Linked DNA regions of Astyanax mexicanus. The protein of the gene in region 1 purifies or fractionates together with the protein of each later gene. This does not show direct contact. Links are inferred from orthologs where the notes say so. Each region holds a gene or a part of one and is shown in the gene's direction. Other genes may lie near its edges.

Region 1 (10,856 bases):
ATTAAATAATAGGACAATGTTGGGTCAGACAATAACCAGGTTTCTACTTTACAACCAGCCAATAATCTCACAGACAGATGTTTCCAAAATCAATGAATATTTCTATGTTTAGAGTTTTACAGCCCTGAATTCATGGACCTAAAGCAGTACTAAACTGTCCAACTCTCTATTGTTAGATCCTAATATATGTCTATATTTAATAATAATAAATTAATAATAAAATATAAATATATTGTAAAACAGACAAAAACTTATATGTAATGGATTATCTTTCAAGAGAAACTGAAAAAAAAATGAAATGATTTCCAAATGAAGACCATACTCAAGAAAATTCAAAGGCTCTACCATTAAGGCTAATGGCCAAGTTTGGCAGAACAAGAGCACTTCCAGTGGGCCAGACTCTTTTAATTAACACCTTGTAGTGCACTAAAAAAAGTGTGAAGCACCACCACATAAAGACAAGCCACAAACAGTGCCTGAGTCAGAGTAGAGTGAGGTTAAGACGAATTTCCATGCGTTTTTTTTTTTTTCTATAGAGATACCTCAAGCAGAGTTCCACAGCTCTCCAAGCCGTTGGCTGCAAACATTTATATACTCAAGCCTTTTACCCATTCTCTAATTGGCTGTTTGGATTGTATGTTGATCCCAAGTCATTACTGACTTGCCTTTATGGCCACTCCATCAATTAACATCTGGCTAACAAGGGTGTGGGTTCTCCAGCAGGGCGTCAATAATACTGGTGCAGCTTGCATTTCCATATGTGGTAAGCTGAAGTGCATAAGCTTTTGGGGTGCCAGTGACATGAAACCCATGGCAAAGCATTAATCAGCTTGCCTTTTTTTATGTTCATCTCCTGCTCTGACTGAGCTACGACCAGTTCTTCAAAGCTATGTCTTTTAATGTATCCCTTAAAAAACAGATCCAAGAGCAGCAATTAAAGCCGGACGGTGCCACCCTTAGAGCCGTAACACACCTCATTACTCATCCTGCCTGTTTCAGTTTCTACATGCAGCCAGTTACCCCCGCCGTCTCTCTGTCTAAAACAAATGAACAGTCTGGTTATGGTTAGTTCAATTCTTTCATCCATATCTTCCTCTAATCTATTTAATTAAGCAGTGGGGCTGTCAGAATTACTGGCCCATGCTTCTCTGTGGCAGAGTTTAAATTAACCACGCGGTCCATTTCCTTACTATTCACATTCATTCTTTATTATTACTCATGCTCACACAAAACCAAGTGTCATACAATTCATTTATGTTTTATACACGAGGACAATACAAATATATGCTGAACCAACATATATTATTCAAATATTAAAAATAATGTCACTATTTATACTGGTAAATAAAAATGGCAGCAACTGTTTTTTTATATTGTAACTATACAAATAAATGTATGTTTATAAAACATGATGGTCAATGAATGGCTTTGTGCACTCCATCTACTTCACACCCCGTTTTGCCTGCAAAGAAAAATACATTAAGTTAATTAAGAATAAATATTAAAACAATTTAGATATTAAGGTCAGAGAACACATACTATACAAATACAAACAAACTTAAACTTTTAGTTTGCTTAAAGTAACGACAAATAAGAGTGAAAATCCTAAGGGCTTCAAAAACTACCGGTATACACATATATAAGAACACATCATGTACTTCTGTGTTCATATCCATCCAAATGATGCACTCTTCTCTTAATATATACAAATCCAACAGGTGGTTTATTTTATCCAAACTACATAATTTAAGAAGTGAGAAGGGTGGTGTGAAAATTTATTTAGTTTGAAATATGAATGTCTGAATCTGCACCTAAAACAATGACAGCAAAAAAATCCTTCTTGTTGATTGTTCCGCAAAAAAATTGATTTATATAACACCAAAAAGGTCACGCTGTTAAATCTAAGACATTTTTAGTTTCTGTATACAGTTACATTAATATACCACAAGTAACGGGACAGAATAGTATCATGTCTCATGATTTTTGCCATTTGCCATGGAAGATAAAAAAGAAAACCTTCACTGAAATGCAGGATATGCATCTGGGCCCTTCTGTTTCAAATGGCATTTGATTTTCATAAGAACAATTTTTAAAAAGCATAATTTCAAATATTACAATTCAGAGTAAGGACTTTTTGTTTAATTTGCTAATTAATGCCAATCTCTTAATGTTTTCCATTTTATTTAATGTTGTATGAGTTTCAGTACTGACAGACGTTAGTCTAAATCAAATCATGTTCTGTTGTATTCCCATTATATTAAATGTTCCCCACAATTTGACACGTTTGCTGTTATTATACAGTTTGGACACACCTTCTCATTCAATGTTCTTTATTTCTTTATTTATTTTCTACACTGTAGATAAATAGAAAAGACAAAAATAATTAAGGGACAAATATGGATTTACGTAGTAAACAAAAAAAAATCCCCTGACCTAAACCCAACTGAGATTGGGTGATTTGGGATGAGCCGAAGCTTTACAGCGTGACGGAGTAGCAGCGACTATTGTTCAGCTGCTGCTTCAGCACCTTCAGGAACTCCTTTGAGAGGTTGAGAAAACTATTCCACGTGACTCTACATCATGAAGACACTGAGATTAAAATACCCATTTGTGTGTGCAGATCTGTCCCCAAAGATAAATGTGGCCATTTAGAAGAATCATTCCACATGTGTTCCTGAAAAGCTTTAATGTATTCATTATTAAATGTACAATATAAAAAAATATATACATATATATATATATAAAAAAAAGAAAACACACTTAATGAAAAGAAGACCAAACATTTGACAGGTACTGTATACAATAAAACATATTGTAATTCACTGCCTGGCCAAAAAAAAGTCGCCACCAAAAAAAAGGTCACACACTCTAATGTTTCGTTGGAACGCCTTTAGCTTTGATTGCAGCTTGCATTCACTGTGGCATTGTTTCAATAAGCTTGTCATAAGATTTATTTAAATCCAGTGCTGCATTAATTTTTCACCAAGATCTTGCAGGATTGATGATTGTCATGATGCCATCATGGAAGAAAAAAATCCACTGATGGAATAACCGGGTCTATATTCAGTATATTCAGGTAGTCAGCTGACCTCATTCTTCATACTGTTGCTGAATCTAGACCTGACTAACTGCAGCATCAACCCCACATCATTTACTTAGTTAAATCCAGGTGCCGACTTTTTTTTTTTTTGGCCGGGCAGTGTGCTAATGGTTTTAGGTTTACTCACAGCAGAGACAAAGCAGGTCTTCAGGGCTTCAAACTCTTTTACACATAAATCTTTCTTCAGCTCCTGTTTACCAGTAGTAGTGGAGACCACACATTTCCCATAAACTGCTGCCTGTAGGAAAAAGAGTCAGAGAACAGTTAATCAGCTGTCTGTAAATCATTTAGTTTACAGCTGCTGTTAAAATGTTATCGAAAGTCTTGAGACTCGGCTCTCGCAAATAGTGATGTGAACGATGTCATCAACCAATAGGAGATCTACGGGAAGCCGCAGGTCAAGAATATTTGAATATATGACTGTTTACAAACGATTTGAAAGAGAACACAGTTTTCAGTTAATAAGCCTTTTATGTTTCTTTTTCTCTTCTTCTTTCTAGGTAACGTTAGCACTTTAAAGTCATTATATTTAAAGTTATTTTATTTTGCACTACGTTATCTTATTGTGTAGTGTTATTTCTGATACAAACAAATGTAATAAATACACATTTTGCAAGAATGATGTTCTTTATTGCACTAATTCTATCTAAAACAAAGACAAATGTACAGCAGTGAAACTGTGATTCTTTGCTATACAAGGTTGTAGCAAAAAAGGGGGTGGGAAAAAGATGCTTATAAGCAGAGTTGAACACAAAATATATTAAAAAACAAAAGTTGTCAGTCTCTGATAAATCACAGTATTGATATACATATTATTTGTAACTCAGGATGTTATATTCATTGTATGTAAACTCAACCAGAAGCATGATGGGAAATAATCTCAGGAAGAATCTAGTTGCAGTCTTGCAAATAGTGACCCCCAGTCTTTGCAAAATCTTAGTCTGTGAGTAAAAAGTCTGTGACTAGTCTTTAGATGTGAGAGGGTGTCAGACTTTAGTCTGTTAAGCCTTTTCAGAGTCTTTTCAAAGTCATGTAGGACCAGAGGAACAGCAGATGAACACAGCATTGGACAGGTATGGGCACCATCATACAGGTACCTCTGTGAAGCACTGGGCCAGCAGGTCGGGGAACCGCCTCATCCTCTCTCGGCTCCGGGTCCAGGGGTTTGTCCCTGACATGATTCTGATCAGCTTTAAGTCTCAGCACAACCCACAGTTATTAACATTAGCTCACAGGCAGGCTAACTCCTGCACACAGAGAGAGATAACACACATTTAACAGTAAAATACCGCGCTGTTTTACACTGTTTAACAATATACATCAATTACCCATAAACTCCAACACTCAGCTTTAACACTCTGATCAAAAACACATGATTAAATCATATTACTGACAGAAAACAACAGCAGGCACTACTCACCCCGTGCTCACCATGTTAGTGACGAAGAAACGGCCCGCCCTCTCACACCAGTGATTGGTCAAACATCTGTATGACCCGCCCCCTAAAATTGACTATCTTTGCTGATTGGCTACTAAAGACATTTCAGTAAAACAGATGAACCAATGAATCATTAGGGCTTGTGCGGCAAGGTCGTGACAGAACGTTGTAGTACTGAAGAGCGTGATTCAAATTCCAGAATCGATTCTTTTGAACTGTCGTGTTCAATGAATCGACTCTGCTTTTAAATATTACATTTTGACAGCATAGTTGTTTAAATACCTAATCATAAAAGACTACCTAAGAAAAATAAAAATAAGAGACCACCTAAAAATTAGGCATAATGTTATCCAAAAGCAGAGTGTAAGACTGGTGGAGGTGCATGAAAACTGTGGTTGAAAGCCAGGGTTATTCCACCAAATATTAATTTCTGAACTCTTTTGTATAATTTAGGCATTTTAATTATTTAATTAGCTACTTTAATTAAAAAAAATAAGATATTTAAACGTATCCATAATTTTTCTGTTCACCCTGTCATCCTGGGATGAATGCCCATTTTAGAAAGTAATCTTTAAACATCAGTGGCATCAGAATCAGAAGGACTGATGACACTTTCTTTATGTTCAGTAACATTCAGTAATGTTAGGCATTCTTAAACATTTTTCACAACTGTTCCATAACTTAACCCTTTTAACAGATATACATCTATTTTTTAAAATGAATTAATCTAATTAATCTAAATTAATCTGCACACTGAAAGAAAAGCATGGCAGCATCACAGCTAATGAGGCAAAATATTTTTTTCCTATCATGTATTTGGTTTTACTCCACAGGAATGATTTGCAAAATAAAAGAAGGTGTTTAAAAGTTATATAGGATAAAAATAATGTTAAACTAATTATTTTTTATTAGTTACTTTATTTATTATTTTATTTACAAAATAATTAACTTGTTTGTGAGTGCATTACATTACAAACAGAAACAGCATTTTCTTTCATTACTGGAACATAATTCAGGTCTGAACGGGTTAAGAATCGGTTCGAGGTGTTCACTAACAGATGCAGTGATTCGCTAAGTGCACGGTCATCCACCAAGTCACGCACAGCAATGGTACACAGAGCGGTGGACTGCTCATCGGAACGAGATGGCTACACTAATGGAAAGGCTGACTTTCCTTCAGAAAGTAGGTATCAGACACGGCATTTTGTGTGGGAGACCAGCGAGCAAAGATATCTGCTATCTGGATTTTACTCTGGAGTGTTTAGCTACAGTGTGATAGCCGCAGCTAACTGGCTAACTAGCTAACGCTAGCAAACTCCCGTAGAGTTACACAGCAGGGTTAGCTAGCCTGTTAGCTGTCAGAGGATTCTGACATTTATATTTATACTATATTTATATTTTACCCCCTATTTTACTCTTGCTTTCAGCTGGTTTTGCTGAGCGCCGCAGTCTCTAACCCTGTCTTCTCCCTGACTGCTGTTTAGGTGCCGACCCTCATGAAGGCAACAGCAGATGACGAAGTGCCCTGCCCCGGCTACCTCTTCCAGGACATCAACAGTATCCTTCTCCCAGCAGCTTTCACTCTCATTACAACACATTACCCACACAGCTCTGGAAAAAATTAAGAGACCACTTTAGTTTCTAAATCAGATTCTCTTATTTTGCTGTTTTATAGATATATGTTTGAGTACAATGAACATTGTTGTTTTGAACACAACTTGAACACAAAATGAACACAACTGTTCTCCATCAAATTCCTTCACTCACTTCAAATCATAGAAATCTCACATGAGTCATTGGGCTGCTGCCAGTGTCTTCTGGAGTACCTCCTGGAGCGTCTGCAGGTGGAGTCCTGCCATGTGAAACTGAAGGTGAGAGAAACTCAAGCACAAACCTCCATTTGTATCGTAGAGGAGGGAAATGAGGAGTTGATTAAATGTGATTGTCTGTTTCTTTGAGATTTCTCACCCCTCATTTCTCTGTCCAAGGTTCTGAAGATCCTCCTGCATCTGTGTGGACATGGTCCTCCTCACTTTCTCACAGAACTGAGGCGGAATGCTACATTCATCCAAGAAGTAACTGGTAATTAGTGTTTTCTTTTTCATATATTATACGACAAAACGATATTGTAATTATTGCAACAGACCTAGATCCTTTGAATAAAATGGACACTGTACTTGGATATGGTTACTTTATTTACACACATATAGAGTACTTTAAACCCTTATTTTTTGGAGTAGACGTACAAAAGTACCAGCCTAACTTACCGGTACACAACATTTTCACCCATTTCTTAAAGCAGACTGACATGTTGTGTGGTCTCTCAGTTTACAGTGGTCCACCAGATCCCATTCATGGCAATGCTCCCTTTCAAAGGGTCAGGGTTGCAGCGCAGGTGAGATGTGTGTCTTTCTCTGTTAAATACTGAGGTTGTCAAACCTGAGATTTTGTAATTATCTGTTTCTTCCTTTGCCTTATAATATTAACAGTTTATCTGACACATTTAATTTTTAAATGAACAAAGATTTAATGTTTGATTGTGGCTATTTTATAGGAACTGGCCGGTGTGCTGTTTAATGATACAATGTCTGCAAACTCTGGACTCTCGCCATGCAAAGCTGCAACTCCAAGCCTGGGTAAGGGAGCTTTCTTGATGGAAATGTTAAGTTTCTTTTTTTATGGAAAAATGCTGTTTATGTGATGATACCCATGAAAAAAGTTGTGAAGGATTCTGTATTGTCCAACATTTGTGCATGTGTATTTGTTAAGCACGATTCTTATCATTGTCAACTGACTGTTTATTTACTGATAATAACAGCTAATTAAAGAATTTAAGCATAAAGATATTTTCTGTAGCCACAATCTGTGTAATATTCTGTTATTTTATTTTGTTCGGCAGGAATGGGATCAGAATCTCTCCGCTCAGGAATGCAGGGATTTGGAAACAGCCCTGGAAGGAAAACATCCAGTAAGAGAGTAATTTTCACTTTACCAAAACGAACTGTGATTTTTTTTTACAGCAATTAAATGCCTGCATTAAATTATGTAGCTCCATGTATCTGTCCTCATCCTCCATATATACAATATCTCTTCCCAAGACAGAGCGACTCTTCTGGGTAAAATTCAGAAGGCTGCAGAGGTAGTTGCCAGTGCTGTCCTTCCACCAACAGAGCAGCCTGGGATTCGTCTATATGACAACCACTATCGGGCAGTGGTTGCTCCCTCTGCTGCAGTGGAGGTGGCAATGCCAGCATGTGCTTACAGTGTGCCCACTCACAGCCACAAAGGTTAGCTGTGCACACACAGACCCTCATAACAGCTCTTCGTCCAAGCTATGGATTCTGGATTCTGTTTATATACGGGAGTTTTGTTCATCATTAAAATCAAATTCCTTATTTCTAGCTTCTCACAGATGTCCAGGACAGGCAGGTGGAGGTTGGGAGGAGACTGGTAGTGGGCACAGCTCCTCTCACAACTCTTCTCTTGAGATTGAGCCACTTAGCCACACTTCCAGGGGGGACAGCAGCAAATCCGGTGAAACAGGCAGCCATTCGGGGGCCAGTCGAGAGAGTGGAGACTTGGCAGAACGGTAAGGGATCTCATTAGTCTGCTTGAAACTTTTTTCCCCACTTTGTGGTTCTGTGAATAAAGAGCTTGAGGGAAAGTTGTCTGAATTCATGAACACAAGACTAGTGTTCATGTTATGGACACAATTTAACTCTAGAAGTAATAATAAAATGCACATTTATTTATAGCATGTTATGAAGAATTAGTATTTTTTCTAAAATGTTCATGGGTGAAACCTAAAAGCTTAGTTATAAGCTTTTATTTATATTTTACATAGAATTTATTTATTAATGCATGTAGGATCTGTGAGTGAATAGCCCACTGTAAAGGTAAATATTTTCTCTCTCAGTGTGGAGGCCATGCAGTTGGGAGACTGTGGTCAGGAGATGGCGCTGATCAGCAGTCTTACTAATGGTTCCAAAATCTTCCTGTCCAGAGATGAGAGCCAGCACTTCATTAAAGAGTAAGCATTTGTATATTGAGGCTGTATCCCAATAAAAGTATAAAAAATACTTGTTGGCAGTAAAGTCAGATTAATTAACTGTTTCTTTGTCCTGCTTCTCTAGGTGTTCTACTTTAAACTGTGAAGTTGTGGTAGAACTTCTCTCTCACAAATTGAAGGAAACAGCACAGACTGTCCAAATGGTACATTTATTTATTCTTTAGTATTTGCTATCTCATGTCTCTGTTTGGCAAAGCAACTGATAAAGCAAGTTCTTTCTCCTCTCCGCAGAGGGCCCTGTGTGGCCTGGCCTGCCTGATGTCTACAGATCTCCTCTCTCTGGACCAGATATTCTGTGTTACACATAAGCGCCTGGCCCAGCTCAGTGAGGAAGTGGAAGGACCTGTAGCCAACAAGTCAACAAAGGTTAAATAAATTGCTTTAAATCTTTGTATCTTTAGTGATAGCAGTGGGTGTACAATTCAGATCAGGAAAATAAAAATCCTTCCTAGAATTTTGCTCCCATTTCCTGGAAAGCTGTGCTGCAGCTCAGTCGGGAAGGATTTTTACTTTCTGGACCTGATTTCTCCACCACTGAGCAACAGCTGTTTATACTAGTATTGTATGTATTATTGAATATATTTTATCTCTCTTATGTACTGTATAGCTCCTTAGACAGTTTGAGGCACTCCTGGGCAGCTCCACGCCCCTGATGAAGACTGGCATTGCAGTCTGTCCAGAATCATCCAGCCCCTCGCTCTCAAAGCAGCCATTAAATCCCACCATTGTCAGCCCACTTCTTCTCCCAACTACTCTGGATGTTGAAGCACCTTCTAGCATGTCATCCACAAATTTCCCACATGCTCTTTCTTCTGAACATGGTCTAAAACAAGAGCATACTGTGACTGCTGCTGCTGTGGGAGAATCTGCTGAGAATGGAGTGCAGGTAGAGGACCCGCAGACTGTACATGAGGATGAGGACAAATACACAGAGCCCGCTAGACACCATCCTACTCTCTCACTGTTTAGTGGGATGGAGCTGGTAAACAGAGGGAAGCCTGTGTGTCTGGTTGAGCCTGTTCTTGTCGAGCCAGATGTCCAGACTGGGGCAGAAGGCTACACAGGCTTTGCTGTGGAGAAAAGCTCAGAAAGAACTGCAGACTCCTCTTTATCTACTAGTGGTGAACAAATCTCTGCCTTTTCCTTCGTCAACCTCTGATCTTCCTTTGCCTTCTGATTGAAACACCTTGGTCCAGGGTGTAGTATTATTTAATGACCTAAAAGTAATATTTAAACACCAAACCCCTCAATGCTCCTGATGCCAGCCTTTGTTATTTTAAACTAATTCTGAAAAATATTAAATGAACAAGTCTGCAGTATGCTAATTTTCAGGGAGGAACACGGGAGGTACACCTGAGGCATTGGTGCATGAAGTAATAAACAAAAAAAAAAAACACTTAATATTTATGTATCCAAATGCTGCTAGTTTTTTTTTTTCCAGGGACTGTGCTTGACAAGTATAACAATGCTGACACAATACACTTTTTAAAATGAATTTTATTGTTTTAATACCCACAAATTCACTGAATATCTCTGCTCTGGAAATAAGCAGAACAGTTAAAAAGGGAAAGCTGTAACGTTTCACTGCCCAAGATTTTTAATCTGCATTTTCACTTGGTCTGGCTACCTAAATATGGCTTAGTGTGTGTAGTTGAACTGTTAAGAAAGCCTTGTGTGTGCTGGGAGTTCTGCCCTAATTAGCAGACTTGGTTCCAAAATGAAAAACTGTAAAGAGATCTAATCTCTGCTCTGTCATGATATACATGACTTGTGTGTGTGTGTGTGTATACCATGAACAAGCCTGTCTCAGGACTACTGTAAGCATTAAGCATTGAATTTTGCACTATGGAGCACCTGTGTCTTCCAACCTTACTTACATGAACAAATAACACAAGCATTACAACCTTAAGCTGATATTTAATGGATTGCCTAAATTACCAAGATATATTTTTTATAGAGACATAAAACATTCTCTTTGATTTAATCATCCATACTTTTAAAGTTGTTCTTTTAGTTTAGAAGGAATGCTATATATAACAACTGAGAGAATAGATTTAATGAATATACTAATTTTCTTATTACTTTTATACTTTAGGTGCTTTCAAAGTGACAGTTTATTTGCTCTGCTTTGAATCAGTTATAATTGGAATGCTTTGGTTTGTTTCACACATGGAAAAATCCATGGACACCAAAATCAATATTTTTGAACTTTTTAACATGGTACAAAAGCAGAGATGGCATTTGTTTAT
Region 2 (11,104 bases), on another chromosome or scaffold:
TTGGCTGTAAAACTCCAACAAGCATCAATAGAGAGAGTCAGCACCTCCTTTAGCTATAGAACTGCACCGTGCAGCTCAAAGTAAAAACACAATCAAAAAGGGCACTACCGCAAAACACCATTTTTTTTTAATGACTGCGGATGCTACTAAACCTAAATAATTAAGTAATACCAAACAGGTAATGACAACATTGTAAGTATTACTTGGTACAAAGCAGCACCCAAAAAAAGCTTTTTTTTAATGAGCAGAGGATCTTCAGTTCAGCAACAAATGCAAAGGGTAATTAAAGTGTGTAGCATTGGACAAATATCTATTTTAAATATTAAAACCCCATAAAAGAGAAAATTACCCCAGGACCACCTGAGAAACTAATCCCGTTCGGATATGGATTTAGTGGACTGTTGCCCTTTCAGGTGTTGTGTAGAATTCTGCCTCCCTGCCGGAAAAAGTGCTTTTATTTACGCTGCACACAAACTAGTCAAGTTGACCCGGGCAGTGGTTTGCGGCAACTTTTACACCTGTTATTTTGGTTTGGAACAAATGGAGAAGACAAAACAAGGAAGGTGTGAAAGAGCCCTATTTAACAGGGGTGTGCAAATGCACACAAAAAGCTTGTCTTGTCCCAATACTTTTGTCCATATAAGTGCATATAAATGACTTAGAAGGAAAAGTTCATTAGTGGGACATAGGGTTGCAGCGGTATCCGGTTTCACGGTATACCATGGTATTAAAATGCACGGTTATCATACAGTGTGTGTTTGCTTATTACCGGTAAAACGCAAGCCAGCAGAGAAACTCACCCGCGCATGCGCAACTCTGCTCCGCTTCAGCTGCTCAGCATACAGCGGTGAGAACAGCAGAAAGTGCATCAGACTAAACAAATCTCCGTCCGCCTAAAAAAACTAAAATCAGCAGTGTGGGACTATTTCGGATACCCGCCGAACGCACCCGAGGATGGCTATCCGATTTCCACAGTTAATCCTGTTGGATGTGGTTGGTCCTTCTTGGTGGTATGCTGACATTACCCTGGATACCGTGGCTCTTGATACATCACAAAGTCTTGCTGCCTTGGTCACAGATGCGCCAGCAAGACGTGCACCAACAAAAGCAAATGTGACCAGCTGGACCCAACCAGCATGTTTACACTCAGCAACTATGTGGCTGTAAAGTCACAGCTAAAGATGGACATACGTCAAACCTGTTCTCCCATCTCCGAGAACACCACCCCGCTGTGCAGCGCAAAGTATGTGTTTAGTTTATAATTTTAATCTGAACCTAAATAAAACCTCTTTGTAGTCGTGCACAACCTATGCGGTAAGCTGGGTCACTCTTCATTTGGAACTGGACCGAGACCACCTCCTCTAGCAGGTCTCAGTCCAGTTGTTTTGATCTGTACCTGAGTGCAATTATTAGTATTCACACCTGCTAAAATGAACGACACTAAAAGTACAAATGAACCGAAGTCCGTTTTAATCAGACCAAACAGTGCTGGTGTGAAAACGCCCTAACAGAGTAAAAATCTTCTAGAAAAATAGTGTATTCCTTTCCTGTAAAACAGCTTAACCCAACATTATATCAGTATCATAGCATTCTGAAACTGGAATCACATTGCCTTAAAGTCATCTGTATCTTACAGGTAACAAAACACTTTTACATAGTGTCATTTTCTTTATTGCCTTTTACCACAATTTATATCAAAAATGCTAAGATCACCATTAAATTTTATGAAGTCTGATGAAGCTAGCAGCTACATGTTGCCACTCTAAGCTTTCTGGCACATCAGTGACAAGATGCCTTCTCCAGGAATGTTCATACATTTTTCAACAAGATAATGTAAAACCACCAGCTGGACACATTACAAAGGCGTGACTGAGAAATAAAAGGTTTCTATTATTGGCCTGCCTGCATTCCTGTCTTTTCCCTCAAAAGACACCCAAAACAATGAATTGCTTGGAATTCTCTTTACAAAAAATGTCTTGCTCTGAAATAGTGAGTTTACTATCCCAAGTTTTTTTTAGAATGTTTTTCTTTAGACTTGAAATGCAGGTAGTGGATTATCTCAATGCATTGTCACGCCATTGTCACTGCATTATTACATTCCTACTGTGTACTGAAACCATGGCTGGATATAGCATCACTGTTATATATAGTATGTTCGTTAAAGCACATTCTATTTTAAGCATTTAAGTCTTCCTCAACAAGTGCTAATCATACTAGTCCTGGGAATGCCATGTTCTGCACATTTGTGTGAGCTACCTATAAAAAATAAATAAATAAATATAAATATTTCTAGCTCTGCATGTGTCACATCACTGAATAAACATCAATTGAGAGGAACCAATACTGATATATTACAGGGAATAAGGTTCTACACCTCAAATGTGGTGCATACATTTTATTATTTCTACAAGAAAACTAGCAGCACTTACAACAGGATGAACCAAGATTTTCTGTAAATCTACTCGAGTTAAAAGTTTGTAGGCAACCCACTGAATTCACAGGCTGGAAACCCATTGCTTAACCTTTCATTTTCACTCCTCAATATCCAACCAGTTTGAAAAGCAAAAAAAGCCTTGTAGGCTGTTAAAATCTTAGTGAGCTAGTCCTAATTTATTCATGCTAGCCCATCAGCATTTGGCAGCCTTTGGCAGGCTGCGTCACTGAAATTTTCAACATTAAAAATTCATCAGTAAGGATGAGTGGGAAATTGTGTGCAAATGTGCCATTGAAGTTTCACAACAATACGTTTCAAACTATGATTACTGATTTTTTTTTGTCTCTTATTGCCACCAATATTAAATAGAGTTGTTTCATGAATTGACTGAACCAATACACAATTAAACATCCTGCATTTTTATAATGCCATACAGCATTATGCTACCCATACACTACTTGACTTTGAAAATACTATAAAAAAAGACTTTTAACAGACAAAAAAATCTGACACCCTCTCACACCTAAACACAAGTTACAGACTTTTTACTCACAGACGAGTCACATGATTTTGTCTAAACTGGGGATCACTATTTGCAAGACGGCAACTCAATTCTTTCTTTGCTTTTGGTGGAGTTTACATACAATACATAAAACATATTAAGTTACAAATAATGTGTTTATCAATACTGTGATTTACAACTTTTGTTCCCAACAACAGTCTATTTTTGTCACACTGTTAGTTCTTGATATTTAACAGAATACATTTTGTGTTCAATTCTGCTTGTAAGCTTCTTTTACCCCTTTTTTTTGCTACAACCTTGTATAGCAAAGAATCACAGTTTCACTGCTATACATCTGCCTTTGATTTAAATAGAATTAATGCGATAAAAAAATAATTCTTGCAAAATGTGTATTTATTAAACTTCATATAAAAAATAACACTGCACAATAAGACAAAGTAGTGCAAAATAAAATCACTTTAAATATAATGTCTAAAGTGCTACCTGTGTTTAAAATACTGTATATAGACTCTACCATATACGGCACAATAACTGCAAAATGTGTTCTTTCAAATTGTTTGTAAACATATTTTGAAATACTTATGATAATTTTAAACACTGCTGATTTTATCTGAACGCCAGGACGAGAAAAATACTGACTTAAACCTTTAATTTAACCACCTTACACCGAATGATCGAGATGAGGCAACAGCAGATCCACTCTAGCGCGACTCAAAATTATTTTCCCAACTCTGGAAATTTGTCTGCGTCGTTAGGAGTAAGGTCAGCATTAGACTAGCTTTTATTGAATATTGAGCCAAATATATTCAATACAAAAAAATAAGTATATCTCCTTTTCAATATTTTATTGAGTACATTTCTTATGATGGATCACTGTTTATCAGTCACCTTGTACCAAAGCAGAAAGCTTTTTATTTTGCAAATGGTTAAATAATAGCATTTACTACATTCAAAATAAAGCTTAAACCTGAGAATTTGACTGGGATAATTTTGTCTCATAGGTCATGACAGAAGATTCAGAAGAGCATTTTGCTGCCATGACCTACAAACCCTGATCTAACCCAAATAACAAGTGAGAAGAAGCGCTGATGTGCCTTCTAAGGAGGTCTCTACTAACAGCTCTGCCTCTTCTGTGAAATGAACAGCCCTGTAAGATCTTTACAGAACAGTGCCTGACATTGAGCCAGCCATTGTGTTAATATTAAAATTGTGTTAAGACTTTTTAAATTTTAATTTAAAAGCCGTTTGACCAGTGGTAGGATGGTCCCCCCTCAAATGTGAGTCTTGGTCCTCCCAAGGTTTCTTCCTCCTCCTGCAGCTCTGAGGGAGTTTTTCCTTGCCTCCGCGCTCACTGGGGGTTCTGTATTCTGTATTTTCTATGTTTAATGTTTTGCCTGATTCTTTGTCCTGTAATCATGTTTCTGTAAAGCTGCTTTGTGCCAACACCTGTTGTAAAAAGCGCTATACAAATAAATTTGATTTGATTAATATTAGGGTAGCTACAATCCATTAGGGCTGTGTTGTCTTCTCTCTTAAACACACACATACACCTTGCTGTGCACAAGACTTCCAGTCACATTTAACAGTAAATCGTAACCCTTAGTTGGCCTCTTACTTTTAAATTTTATATTTATATTTATTTAGGTCATTCACCACGCGTTATTGGAGTACTAAGCACACAGAACACTCTATAGGCAAATATGTCCCAAACCTAATAGAGCTCTATAGACCCATGGTACGCTAGAACAGGCGTCATCCTGAAAGTATGTGTCAGAGAACAAGTCCACACAGAAGCGGTGACAACAACACATCCTCCTCAACTTGATCCCACAGAGCTGTGTACTGTGCACACATTGCACAACATCATAACCTCCTGTCACAAGCCTTCAGCACCTTTTCATACATCACATTCACAAAACTCTGAACATCCACTTTTAACTTTCACAGAGAGGCAGACAAGGCTGCACTGTAGCCGCAATGTGTCTCCAGTAAGTGAGGAGAAGCGAATTTGTGTCGCATATAGTCATTTTAGTCTGAAATCACACCAGTAAGGTCTAACTTAACTTAAAATCATATTCCACTGGTTATATAAGAGCTAGAGATCTATAAATTATTTTTAATAAAACATAATGACAAGACATATATGCTTGATTTAATCTGGACTAGTTACATGCCACCACTGTTTTACCATTGAGTTCTCTCCCTTTCTCTTAACTATAATTCCATTTTACTAGTAAAAGCCACAGTTACGGGTCCCACAGCTACATTTTTACTTCTAGAAACTGTAGTTCCAGATATCTACACAGTAATTCAGATTAGAGATTGCAATAAAATTGAGATTGCAATAATAGTAGTAACACTAGTCAGAACCTGAATATCTAAAGTTATATTACATATAATACAACTTCACATATTACATATTACATCAGATTTGTCTAATTGTTAGCATTTGTACTAGTCTAAATAACTCTGCAGCTATCTAGAATTACATATTTTTCTAGCTCTCATTAGCACAATTAATGTTAGGTTACCCATTATGGGTTAACTGTACAACTTTTCTTTCCAAAGTGTTTTGGATTTGAGTTACTGGACATAAAGGCCAACTAATTTAACTATAGTTAGTGAGTTGTTGCATGTTGGCTGTAACCCTTCTAAAAAGGTCTCACTCCAATACTTCTACATAAAATATTACAAACTACTCAAACCAAACCGAACACAACTGAAATATTAGAGTGAAAAGACTTTACCCATCCTAAAACAACTAGCTAGCCTAATACTTGTTTTTGTTTGTACACAGTCCTCTCAACCAACAGTATGGCTAGCTAGGAGTATGAAGTAGGGGTAAGATGAAACATCAACACAGGGGTACATTGTATTTTTATCTGCAATAGGATATTGTCATGCGGGGTCCAACATCAATATTTGATTTCTGTTCGAATTAAGCTTATATTACACATATTATTTGGAAAATAAAATATTTGTGCTCTACCCAGACATTTTACCAGCAGCAGAATAGTTCTACTTTATGGCACTTAGGACTGGGAGAAATTGTAAAAAATAATACACATTACTTTAAATATACATGCTACTCACAATAACTTTTATATTAAACACAGTGTAAACAATTTTACTTGTATTTAAGTTATGGAAAAGTATGAAATATGAAAATCACAGTTCTTTACAGGTTTTTGACAGAAGCAAATGTCTATCTACTGAAACAGTTATTAGACTAATGTCCCAGCACTGATAGCAGTTTATGGATATTTCACAACATTGGAATAATACCACATTTGAAAGAGCTGCAGTCAGTTTGCTTATTTGAGTATTTTATTTTGTTTAAACGTAATAAATGCTAGTTAGTTGGTTTAAAGTGTGAAAAGACTTAATCCATCAATTCAGTTTTTTGTTAGTAAGGTCTGTTTTGGAAGTTTCGTTGTATGAAGACGTTTTCGGGTTTTTAGCACTGCCAAGCTGTATTCTATGTTTTGTTTCTGTATTTTTAGGAAGAAATGAACCCAGTTATGTCTAAATCGAATATTAGTATAATATTAGCTAACAGCTAATGACAACCCAGGTAAAACCTCACGTCTTGTCAACGTCAGGATGTATTCACCTAACCTAGCTATTTTCTCCATTTTTGTTCAATACAGACATCTTTATTAGCCAAGATAGGTTAGTAAACTGCCTTATAGCTAAGTGAAATATATTGTGGGCAGTAAGGCATCAACTGGGCATTTATTTCACACTTTTCAGACACAGTGATTCCCACCCCTAGTATGAAGTATGTCGGCTAGCTACGATAAATCTAAAGCTAACAAGCAAAATCACTGTAACCCAGATTACGTTAGTTATTTTAGCTAGATCAGTTAACCCCTCATCTCCACACTATCTGTCCGAGGTTTTGAAGGGGTATTTCTGTGTCAGTCCACTGCACTGCTTAACTAAAGCTCAGAGTAAGCTGTCTGTTCTGTTCTGATCGAGTAAACGCGGAGAGAAGTCCCCGGACGGGTCGCTAACGAGCTGAAGTAGCTTCATAAAGACTGGAAGCACGCCGACGCCATGATGACCAAAACAAAATGGCTGAACGGGAGATTAGTTGACAAAGTCAGCAGGGCTGCGTGAGGAGCGGCTTCCTCCGGGTTACCACAGCTGAGGGTGAACTGTATCAGCTCAGAGGAACCGCACACAGCGAGGAGAAGATCCCACATCGTAGGTAAGGAGCACAGACAGGAGACGGACATGTATTTGTGAGCTGTGGTCTCTTCTCTGATCCAGAAACGCTAGTTAAATTAGCTTAGCTAGCATTAGCTGGGGATAACCTAGCAAGCCAGCCATATAACAAGGGGTTAGCTAGCTAACTAAGTACGTTAGCTATGCAGCTATGTTATTTAACTAGGTAGTAAATTAAGGGGATCTGGCACCTTTTAAACATTGTTTAGCTAGGTAGTTAGCAAGCTAACTTAACGCATAGCTCAGTAAGTCTCTAGCTAAATCCATAGCTTATCTTAGCTTAGCATATCATAGCATAGCTACCTGCAGCTCGGCCCGCTCCACTTCCCAGTGCGCCCGCTCCATCTCGAACCGGGCCCACTCGTGCTGGATGTAGTGCAGGATCCCCGGGATCGTGTACTGCTGCGGCCGCGGCATCTCGTCTTGCTGCTGGACCGCTGGCGCCGTCCCCCCGGGTCCGATCTGGGGATTAACGGCGTTATGGTTTCCCTGCTGCGGCGCTTGCTGCTGTCTGGCGGTGGCCATTCCTCCCCCTGCTGCTGCTCCTCCTCCTCCGCCGGGGTGTTCATCCATTTTCTTTAAAAATAGCAATGTCCCGCTCCAAGTCGCCGCACGACCACAGTCGCGCTCGCTCCCTCTCTCTCTCTCGCCGATCCCCCGCCCCCTTCGCCCTCGGTAAGCAGCGCTCGCCCCGCTACAGGCTGCTGCGGGTTCGCCCGCGGCGCTGGACGCGGTGTGTGCTCCGGGCTCAGAGTGAGCGCACGGCTCCGCCGGCCGCCATTAGTCCGCTCCCTGGATGAGAGTCTCCTCACTGCGGGCGACAGGGGGATTCAGCTCGCGCTGCATGACGGGACCCAGCTCACCCAGCCCTGCTCTGCTCTCTACCGGCCAGACACAGAACACAGCGGCGCAGACAGAGCGCATGCGCAGACTGAGAGCTGTCGCCTCACAGCACTCACAGTTAGCTATAATAACAGTAATCTCGAAGAATAATATATAAGGGCTATTCCACAGAATGAATGATTTTAAATTACTTTTTTTCATCTGTTTTCAACTCTACTATATTTTTATTTGTCCTGTTACCAAAACTTATGACATTTAAAAAGCATGTTCAAAAGTAAGTAAGTAAGAACTAATTCATTTGATTTTCTGTCAAGAAAGTCATTATTTGAATTAAGTGGTCAAAAATATATTTATGACAAAAATCACTATATATGCATGCACATTGTAGTTTTCTAAAAGATGCAAAGCCATATTTGTTTTTTTTTTTCAAGACCCAAACCTGAAATGAAATGGCACAGATTTTGCGGAATATGCCATACAATACTACTTCTAGAGTATGAAGGAACACATAAGGAATCTTATTGAAAGTTTATTGAAAAAAGATGTTAAACAAACCTTACAAAATACTCTGAGAAAAACATTAAGCTGGCTCTTATCTGGTGTGCTGTTTAAAACCTGAGGTATCTAAACTGGTAACCTAACTATGATGAGCTTATCCTGTGCAACAGAGGTACCTATTGGTCCTCCTTTCTTGGGGCAGTCCTGATGAGTGCCAGTTTCATCACTCAACGTTTTGAGGAAAGGGGCTACACCTGCCACACCTGTCAATCACTCCTGAACCCTTCTGAAAGACAGCCTCAGATTTGGGCTACTGAGAAAAAGAACTGGACTGTTGCTCAGTGGTCAAAAACCTCTTTCAACTCTTTTAACAAGAAGTTCAAAGTACAGTGTGAATTTCCGTAATCTGTGATTGTTTGGGCAACCAAATCATCTGCTGATGCTGGTCCACTGTGTATTTTTAGGTTTTAGAACACTTTGTGCTTTCGAATGCTGACAAGCTATATTGAGATTTCCTGTAGCAGAATGACTTGGCACCTGACCACAGTACTAAAACTACTGGCAAATGGTTTGCTGACCATGATATTGTTGTGCTCGATTGGCCAGCCAACTCTTTAGACCTAAACCAAATAGAGAATCTGTAAGACACTGTCAGGAAGATGAATAACACTCGACACAGCAATGCAGATGAGCAGAAGGCCACTACCAATGCAAACTGGGCTTCAGTAAAATCTTTCCATTGCCATAGCAAGCTGATTGCATCCATGCCACACCACACTGATGCAGTATGGTATGATGCAGTTTGGTATGAATGTATGGTAGAGAAGTCCCAACCATGTATTGAGTGTTAAAACGAACAAATTTGAGTGTTGTTTTTCTGTGTGAACGTATGCAATACTTAAATTATAAAAGATGCTGAATTTTTAATTTTAATGAGCATTAAGTGAAACTGGTCAAAAATAAAACAAAAAATATATATAAAATTGAATTATGAACAAAAATACACTTTTATCTGATTTTCTCCCCAATTTACATGGCCAATTACCCAACCCACTCATTCGGGTTCCCCTTATCACTAGTGATGCCCAACACCAGGAGGGTGAAGACTAGCATATGCCTTGATGCAGCATTGCTTGGAGGAAAGCGCAGCGACTCGGTTCTGATACATCAGCTCACAGACGCCTTGTACTGATCAACATCACCGTAGAGAGAGCAAGGCCAATTGCACTCTCTCAGGGCTCCGGTAGCTGACGGCAAGCTGCAGGAACAGGATTCAAACCGGCGATCTCCTGATCATAGTGGCAGTGATTTAGTCTGCTGGACAACTCGAAGACTTACTAAAATACTTTTTTTATTATTTATTTTACAATATTATAAATTATAACAGTACACATACATGATGCGTGATAATGTATGAGTAACACAATCTTAATAACCGTAATTTGCAAATAAACCCAATTACAGTAAAACTGTAAATACGTATTAATTATGGCATTGACAAAACAATAACATAATAAAAATAATAAATAATAAAATTATAAAAAACAATAACAGTGTTACAGTTTTAGCTGCATAATCTTTTTTTTCTTTCTTTTTTTCTCATTCTAGTGTTCTTTATAGTGTTCCCACCTTCCCAATTGACCATGATCAAGTTCCTGTTGATGGTCAATAAGCAGGGGCAGACTCGCCTGTCTAAGTACTATGAGCATGTGGACATAGGAAAGAGGGCTGCCCTGGAAGCAGATGTGGTCAAAGGTTGTTTATTTCGCAAGAAAGAGGAGGTAAGTCTCACGTTTTTCTGTCTCGTTTATAACTAATGCTTCCTAATAAAATAAATCCTTTACAAAGGCACCTACTGCTGTTCCTAACCAGTCATAAATGAATTAAAGTTTACTACTTGATTTGACTTGACGGAATTGTTGTCCAGTAACTTGCAGCCCAGATATAATATGTGTTAGAAATGTGTAGAGCAGGGTGTGAAATGGATTTAAAACTTGCCGGCAAAAGACTTTTACTGTGAGGGGTCAAGCATTCAGGCCTGGACTTTTTCACACCTGCACTTTATAGTTTCAACTAAAAATGAGCTAAAAAGGACCCTGGGTTCAGTTTTTTTTGGGGAAGGTGTGAATACAGTAATTGCAAAATAACTGCACCCCTGGAGTAGGTGTTTTGCTTCAGTCTCATGTACTCTGAGTGGTTTGTTTGTGGCCAAAACATAATCTAACCCTGATTTGCCACAACTATTAGCTATAATATACACCCTACATATACAGATGTGCTTTGGAATTACGCTTATACATTTCAGAAATGCTCCAAGTTTACAAACTTGTCAACTGTTTCAGACCAGAGCAATCCAACTATATGTGTAAAAACTCCACATATGCACTTCCTTTCCTGTGAAAAACGTAATTACGTGTAAGTAACTTAACTTAAGCGTGAGTAATAATGTCAAAATACCCTGTTTATTATTTTGCCTGATTCTCTGTCATGTGATCACTTTTCTGTAAAGATGCTTTGTGACAACATCACTTGTGAAAAGTGCTATACAAATACATTTGTTTAGATTAGATTAGATT

The links.
Region 2: the proteins of tepsin (region 1) and ap4s1 purify together in Homo sapiens (co-immunoprecipitation; 3 studies listed by BioGRID and IntAct, with this or other methods). This does not show direct contact. The link is inferred for Astyanax mexicanus from reciprocal best matches to the Homo sapiens genes TEPSIN and AP4S1.

Annotation. Positions count from the first base shown.
Region 1 is NC_064422.1:33,107,256-33,118,111, forward strand, and holds the start of tepsin (AP-4 complex accessory subunit Tepsin), read left to right. Parts: upstream 1-5,568; 5' UTR 5,569-5,682; coding exon 5,683-5,721; intron 5,722-6,022; coding exon 6,023-6,095; intron 6,096-6,317; coding exon 6,318-6,409; intron 6,410-6,526; coding exon 6,527-6,620; intron 6,621-6,865; coding exon 6,866-6,933; intron 6,934-7,092; coding exon 7,093-7,174; intron 7,175-7,437; coding exon 7,438-7,506; intron 7,507-7,636; coding exon 7,637-7,825; intron 7,826-7,940; coding exon 7,941-8,127; intron 8,128-8,454; coding exon 8,455-8,568; intron 8,569-8,671; coding exon 8,672-8,750; intron 8,751-8,838; coding exon 8,839-8,973; intron 8,974-9,214; coding exon 9,215-9,766; 3' UTR 9,767-10,856. Other genes in the region: ndufaf8 (NADH dehydrogenase [ubiquinone] 1 alpha subcomplex assembly factor 8), read right to left, coding at 1,442-1,462, 3,228-3,338, 4,198-4,278. UniProt on the Homo sapiens protein: Associates with the adapter-like complex 4 (AP-4) and may therefore play a role in vesicular trafficking of proteins at the trans-Golgi network.
Region 2 is NC_064421.1:45,453,119-45,464,222, reverse strand, and holds the start of ap4s1 (AP-4 complex subunit sigma-1), read left to right. Parts: upstream 1-6,866; 5' UTR 6,867-7,170; intron 7,171-7,490; coding exon of another isoform or gene 7,491-7,760; exon of another isoform or gene 7,761-8,028; intron 8,029-10,136; 5' UTR 10,137-10,171; coding exon 10,172-10,309; intron 10,310-11,104. Other genes in the region: strn3 (striatin-3), read right to left, coding at 7,491-7,760. UniProt on the Homo sapiens protein: Component of the adaptor protein complex 4 (AP-4). Adaptor protein complexes are vesicle coat components involved both in vesicle formation and cargo selection. They control the vesicular transport of proteins in different trafficking pathways.